2 linked regions of the Stegostoma tigrinum genome follow. The protein of the gene in region 1 interacts with the protein of each later gene in a biochemical or structural test. Links are inferred from orthologs where the notes say so. Each region holds a gene or a part of one and is shown in the gene's direction. Other genes may lie near its edges.

Region 1 (3,751 bases):
GAGACAGAGGTTTCGAAAGACAAAAGTGCTCCCTTACCTGTTCTACGCAAATCCCTTCGATCCTGTGCTGAACTCGATAGTTCTCGATAGTTAAGATAACCACGTGTGCAAGAAGTTAAGTTAAACTACTTTTCGAGACAGGGGCAAAAAAGTTCTGTTTTTTTAAAAAACAAAATCAGACGCGTTAACTTAACCCAGCATACTGTCCTCACTGTGTCTGAACTGAGTGTTCTGAAAAGACCAGTCATATAGGATCTGATAGCCCGCTATTTCCAAAAGCAATTATTTCCTTAATTCATTAGAATCACGTAAGCCCCAAAACGTCTCCCTGAGCGAATGTGTTGCGTAAATGTAGAAGCTTAAATCACCTCTGCGTACGTGTGCCTTGCAGTCACTAAGGTGTCGGGGATTTCAGCGGCGGATATTGCAAAGAGTTATTACATTCATAACTCACAAGTAGTGGGCGATTGACTGAGCAAGCAGAAGTTCACATGATGACTTCAAACAAGGCGCATTACCTTCCAGCATCTACTGGAGAGACGGGATTTTAATCCTCTTCGCTTTCCTGGGCGGTTACTAACGATGGTAAGCGGATTGTCAGGGAGGGGTGGAGGGGTTGGGGAGGGGGCGGTTTTGGTCAGTAACTGCGATCGCCCTTATTTTTTTTAATAACGCCACGTTACCATTGGAAGGTGAGAGAGCATTTCTCACACCACTGGGGGATATCGCCCGCACACACACACGCATACGCCCTCCACTCCCCCCCCCCCCCAGTTAAGTTAAACTCATTCCTTTGGAAATCTACAATTGATTGGAGATTTGGTGGGCGATCAGAGGCAGATATCGACAGTGGTGCAGTGACACTGTCTCTACCTCTGGACCAGAAGGTTTGAGGGCTCAAGTCCCGCCGGGAGGTGTGTCTTGTCATCTTTTGGTAATTGAAAATATAAAGAGGGCAGCAAGAACTGGATGGTAACGCCGGGTGTTGGGTTTCTGGGGGTGCAGTTCAGTACAGTATGGTGACTTACCCCGCAAGGAGCTGATCATCAGATCTTACTGGGGTTCGGGCGCGGTGGAGGGGGGGGGGGAGCAGACTGACTGGCAAAGCCATATTCACGTGACACGGCGTGGGTAAGTCGCATCTGATACAAATATGAAGTCGCAAGTGCTGAAAATAGAAGTGTTATGGAGTATTTGGGGAGGAGGGTAGCGGGTCGGAGGAAGGGAACCATTAGCTGCTTCTGGGGTCCTGACGCGAGTCTCAGGTGTGTCTCTCAGCACCCGGGACAGCCTGAGCTGTCTCGGCCTCGGGGATAAGAAAAATCAACTCTATCCAAAGATATCGCGTCACCAGACGGTGATTGCCACGAAGGAGAGGGTTAGATCTATAAAAAAAATCTTTCAAAGCTGACAGCGTTACTACGAGACCAGCTGAGGCGCAGAGCTGATGGTTGGAATTTTTTTTAACAGCTTGGGCGAAGTTTATTACGGTACAAGCAGAGTGTGAGGAAAATATCCTGCGAACAGGCAAGGTCACTGTATTGTAACTTTGTGAAATGGAAGGGTTGATAAGGATGGTTTAATGTGATGCCGTTTGCACATAGCAGGGTAAGTGAACAGCATCTGCCGTGTTGTTTTCTCGCCCAATCTGGCTAGCAGTAAGGATCTTCCCTGTGTATCCCGGACAGGGGCCACTTGCATTTTGAGCTTACTTTGGTTGAGGGAGATCAGTGATGTTGCAGAGATTGGAAGGTTCTCTTGTCAAGTCCCACACACACACACACACGCACACGCACACACACACACTTAGCCTGCTTCATTCTGAGAGTTCATCGCATTTTCTGAGCCAGGCGAAGTGTTTTTGTTCCAATATTCTTCCTGTGCCCGGCTTGCGAGAGAGAACTGTAGGTGCAGGAGAAGGTTAGGTTCAAAGTTGCGTGTCAGTGAGCAAGGGCTGTTTAGCGAGCGGGCGCTCCAGGCAGGGATAGAGAAAGGGACTCTAACTCCAGGAGGTCTGGTGCTCTGGCTATTTGGGAAGGACTACCCCGCAGAAGCTGCATACTACCGCACACCTACACTTCACAACACAAGAGACTCGCAGCAGCAGACGGCGCTGTTTTCAGCAAAAACCCAAATCCCCACAACACCCTCCCCCATCAAAACAAAAATCCTTGCAGTTGCCCTGACAGTGATCAATGCAGGTAAGGGTCTAAGGCAGGGCTCCCGATTGGAGAGAACTCGGTATCAGCCAAAGCTAAATGCAGTTGCAGAATGTTAGGGACCGCTCGATACCCTCGGTGTTGAACGTAACTTATTATTTCACACAAACACACACACACACATACACACTAAACATGTTTCAGACTGGAGCTTGGTTTGGGTGTGGAAGGGATTTGCTCAACTATACCCAGCGTTACAATAATGTGAAGCTGCAGATCACCGTAGCCGACGGGGGCAGAAGGATAATTTAATAAACAGTAACCGATTGTCTTTAGGAAGTGGTCTCCGGCCCCTTCCTGATGTGCTGTGCCTCAAGAGAGGTGACCTTTAGTGTGAATGTTGATTTTGATTGTTCGCTGGGGTGGGCGGGTTGGGTGCGACTGGTCACTAGACATAACTGTATATACAGACCGCGCGCTGCTGAAGTTAAGAGACCAACTCTCCTTGTCTTTCTTTTGTCATTTCTGGTTTCTGGGCTGACTGTATTCCAGAATGCAGCGTGTGAAGTTTGCCTCAGGAGCTAGACTCATTCCACAGGGATTGACGGTGTGGAGAGGGGATGGGCTATTGGAAATCGGGGGCATTTTGTGATATCGCCCTTACTATCAGGGTACAGGCGGTGAGAGTGTAGACCCTTTTCCCGATAGAAACCCAAACATCCAATGTACTAGATTTAACCAGCTAATTCCCCACCCCCCCACCCGAACACCCCGGTCCTACACAAAACAAAACAGCAAGGGAAATGTGAGGCTGGATGAACACAGCAGGCCAAGCAGCATCTCAGGAGGATGCTGCTTGGCCTGCTGTGTTCATCCAGCCTCACATTTTATTATCTTGGAATTCTCCAGCATCTGCAGTTCCCATTATCTCTCACAGCAAGGGAAAGGTGATTTCCATCTTAGACCTTAAGAAACGGGAAGCGGAGCAGGCCGCTCGGCCCGGTGAGCGTGCTCCCGCTCCTACCCCGTGTGCTAACGCTCCCACATTAAGCCAGACAGGGGGAACTGGTCCTTTCTTTTTCATTCAGGACGAGGAAAAGTATTTTCCCTTCGCCGGTTGCCAGTGAGACAGCAGAGACGAGGCTTTCATTGGATGCCGGTTGCCATGGCAACGTGAGGAGCAGCCTTGCCACAGGCTCTGTGGTTCTCTCCCTCGGTCCCTGTGACGGTGATGCCCGCAGTTTGGATTCGCTCTGAGCAGGTCCCCACCTAAGCGTGTTGCTGTCATCAGCGCTCCACTTCAGCCCGCTGTGTCTACTGTTACACCCAGGTCCCCTGGCACCAGATCGTAAAGGAAACCAACAAAAAAAAAGTAACTCCCCGTCAAAACAGGGTTTCTTCCAGCTTTGGGCACCAGCTGCGCTACCGCAACTAAACAGGTTCCTTCCCGTGGCATTGAAAGCGGAACAGTTCTGAAAAAAAAGTGAGAGCGAAGGAATCGCCTCTCTCCATCTTAGCATCTCTGAGTGTTTGCTGCATGTGAGGGTGGATTTTGATTCAGGCTGTTATTGTCCGGGGTCGACCTGGATACG
Region 2 (3,751 bases), on another chromosome or scaffold:
TTCCCCCTCATCCCCATCCCAGGTCCCAAGAAGACTTTCCACATCAAGCAGATGTTCTGCTGCACATCTTATAATGTGGTATACTGTATCCACTGTTCCCATTGTGACCTCCTCTACATTGGGGAAACCAAGCAGAGGCTTGGGGGCTGCTTTGCAGAACACCTACATTCAGTTCACAGTAAACAACTGCACCTCCCAGTTGCAAACCATTTCAACTCACCCTCCCATTCCTCAGACAACATGTCCATCCTGGGCCTCCTGCAGTGCCACAATGCTGCCATCCAAAGGTTGCAGGGACAACAACTCATATTCCACTTGGGAACCCTGCAGCCCAATGGTATCAATGTGGATTTCACAAGCTTCAAAATCTACCCTCATCCTACCACATCCCAAACCCTGCCTCCCTAACCAGTTTTTCCTCTCACCCATCCCCTCCTCCCACCTCAAGCCCCACCCCTATCTCCTACCTACCAGCCTCATCCCACCCCCCACCTTGACCTGTCTGTCCTTCCTGGACTGACCCATCCCCTCCCTAACTCCCCACCTACACTCACCTTTATTGGCTGCAACCCTGCCTCTTTGACCTGTCTGTCTCCTCTCCACCCATCTTCTCTCCGCCTCCCCCTCTCTATTTATTTCAGAGCCCCCTTCCCCCCCAAATCTGACGAAGTGTCTAGGCCCGAAACGTCAGCCTTCCTGCTCCTATGATACTGCTGTGTTCAGCCAGCTCTACACCTGGTTATCTCAGATTCTCCAGGATCTGCAGTTCCTACTATCTCCGAAGGAACGAGCACATTTGACGGAGGGTGAAAGGTAAATATTGAATCTGTGACAGTGCATCCAGGCTTCTGTGTGGAAGGAGCAAACATCAACCCGAGCACCTGTAGGGAGCTTTTAAGGACCAGGCTTCTCCCGGCCTAAGGTGCTGATTGACAGGGCGGGAGGCCAATAGACAGCGTGGAGGTGGGGCACGATGCTGGTTGGAGGGAGGCGTTGCCAGGGGCGGGACGTCCGGTGGGGCGGGTGCCAGTTTGTTGTTGGTGCTTTAAACCTGCGGGGGTTGGACTGTTGTGGTGTTTTGTAATGTCGTTTTGATATTTTGCACGTACGTATGTTCATCTATAGTAGCCTTAAATCCGAAGGTTGACCGGCGTAGAAGAAGCGAAAGAGGTTAAACCATGAGGGCAGTGGCGGGGCTGTTGCTGTTGCTCCTGTCCCTGTCCGTGTTTGATTTCCAGGGCAGGCTCTCGGAGGCGGTGGAGCTCGGGAAGCAGCTCCTCGGTAGCAGCGGCCAGAGGCTGCACAAGAGGAATATCTCCACCACCACCACCAACTGCCAAGAGTGGCAAGGATTCCAGAGGAATTTAACAGCCCACACCCACAAGGTGAGTCGCAGCGTGTTTAAAAAAAAAACCCAAAAATGCTGGAGAAACTCAGCAGGTCTATCAGCATCCGTGGAGGGAGAAAACAGAATTAACGCTTCGGGTCCTGTGACCCTTCCTCCGTGTGGCCCTCCTAATAAAACAAAAAAAACCTGACATAATCCATGTATTTCAATCCGTTGAATGTGCTCATCAGAGTATCCCCTTTCTTTCTCTTACCTGACAAGGTTGTGTTAGAGTTTGTCTTTTTAACAATTTTCACGAATATGCCCAACGCTTGTTTTCCACCTCTTCCCCAAACCCCCAAAAGTGTTTTTTTATTCAGTCGTTGTATGTGAGCCAGCATTTACTGTCCATCCCTCACTGCCTTGGAAGAGGTAGTGGCGTGTTGCCTTCCTTGGAATGTGGGAACAGGCGCGGTGCTGCTTGTAGGAAGGGAAGAAACGTGAAGCGTCTGTGTAACTTTAAAAATAGCGCTCAGTGCATCAGAATTAGTAAACATGTTCACTGCCGTCTTTGCCCAAAGCAAGCCTTAAAAATCACCCCTAATGAATGTAATTTTCAAACGGCAGATCAAGATTTTAATTGGTATTCCCCCGAGCTTTCACATCGAGCCTGTTTACCGATTTAGGCGTTTTGGATTTTCTCAAACCATCGTTTATTGGGAACCTGCCGTCCAATTTGGTTGCGTCAAGTTCGGGAGAGATGTTTATTGGAGTTTTCTCATAAAATGATAACAATTAAACATCCACACTCTCATGATTGGGTTTATGGTGCTGAAAATAAAACCGCACTTATGAGAGCAGAAATTTAAGTGACAGTGAGGCTTCAGGAGTGTGTTGATAAATTTAGATTGTGAATCCAAACTCTCTCAAATTTTCAGAATTAGTTAACTACATGAAGCAAATATGAAAAGTCACTTTTTTGCATATAATCGTTTGAAAAAAAATCACAAACTTTTAATCAATGTTGATAACATTTTAAAGAAAAGTGAAAATGTAGTGAAACTACTGCAACTGTGTTCTTATTGTATGTGCATGATAACTTCCCTTCCTGAGTTATGCTGCATTTTTGTTGCATTCGTGAAACAGTTGTAAATTTGTGGTAAGTGGGAGTATAGCATTTCATGTCCCGTTTCTAGTTGGGAATCTCATCTCGAGTAGTAAAGTGCTAGAAAGTGGGATGAGTACAGTTTTAGAGGTAGTGAGAACTGCCGATGCTGGAGTCAGAGAAACCCAGTGTGGAGATGGAGGAACACAGCAGGCCAGACAGCGTCAGAGGAGCAGGAAAGTCGATGTTTTGGGTTGGAACTCTTCCTCAAGAAGATTTCTGAAGAAGGATACCGACCTGAAACATAACTGTCCTGCTCCTCTGCAGTCTGGCCTGCTGTGGTCCTCCAACTCCACACTTTGTTATATCTGAGTACAGATTTAGAGGTTTTTTTTGGTGCATTCTTGACAGGCTGAAGGGCCTCTTCTGTACTGTCTGATTCTGTGTTGCACTGTCTATAATCTAATTGCTGTTTATCTAATTTGTGTAGCTGAACTCACACACTCGCCTTCTTGAACTATCTTTGCTTCTTGCGTGAAATCCTTTGCATCACTTTTCACCTGAGCAATTTTTCTTGCTATTTTAATGTTTTTAGCTTATCGCTTCTGTGGGTGACACATTTATTTACTTTTTAGCTTTGTGTTTAGAAGTAGTAATTATTTTTGTTCTAATTTTAAGAAATTTATATTAATACATCTCTTGAAGTGCTGTCTGTACCCAGTTGTTAATCTACTTCTAGTTGATGCTGGTGCCTTGATGTTGGCACTGATGGCATACAGTAATCAAAGAAAGTAGGAGGTGGAAACTGGAATAGTTTCAAAGCCATGATATCAAACACTTAGTCAGAACCAGCTTTAAATTTTGAGAACAGCTTTGCTTTGTTTAAATAAGTGGCTTGGCTATTCCTTTAATTTCCCTTTTTAAAGTATAGGAAATATAAAATCATAAATTGGCAGAAGATTTATTAATGCTTGTGACATAATTTAATACAGTTTAGCTCCATCTCTGAACAAATTCTATTGAAGTATTTTGTCAAATCATATTTTCCCATGATTAATCCACCTACTTTGCAATTCCTGGACACTGCAGACAATTTAGCATAGCCAATTCGCCTAACCTGCACATCTTTGGACAGTGGGAGGAAACCCACCCAGGCAGCGGGAGAATGTACAGACTCCACGCAGTCACCGAGGTTGGACTAAAACCCAGGTTGCTGGTGCTGTGAGGCAACAGTGCTAACCGCTGAGCCATCGTGTTACTCCAGTTTAATTAATTCACGGGACCTGAGTGTTACTTGCTAGGCCAGCAACTGTTGTGTA

The links. The genes of interacting proteins can lie anywhere in the genome.
Region 2: the proteins of bdnf (region 1) and sortilin-like form a complex in vitro, tested with the Homo sapiens proteins (2 studies listed by BioGRID and IntAct, with this or other methods). The link is inferred for Stegostoma tigrinum from reciprocal best matches to the Homo sapiens genes BDNF and SORT1.

Annotation. Positions count from the first base shown.
Region 1 is NC_081370.1:53,222,399-53,226,149, reverse strand, and holds the start of bdnf (brain-derived neurotrophic factor), read left to right. Parts: upstream 1-1,495; 5' UTR 1,496-1,587; coding exon 1,588-1,608; intron 1,609-3,385; exon of another isoform or gene 3,386-3,531; intron 3,532-3,545; exon of another isoform or gene 3,546-3,642; intron 3,643-3,751. UniProt on the Homo sapiens protein: Important signaling molecule that activates signaling cascades downstream of NTRK2. During development, promotes the survival and differentiation of selected neuronal populations of the peripheral and central nervous systems.
Region 2 is NC_081374.1:17,176,711-17,180,461, reverse strand, and holds the start of sortilin-like, read left to right. Parts: upstream 1-1,011; 5' UTR 1,012-1,178; coding exon 1,179-1,385; intron 1,386-3,751.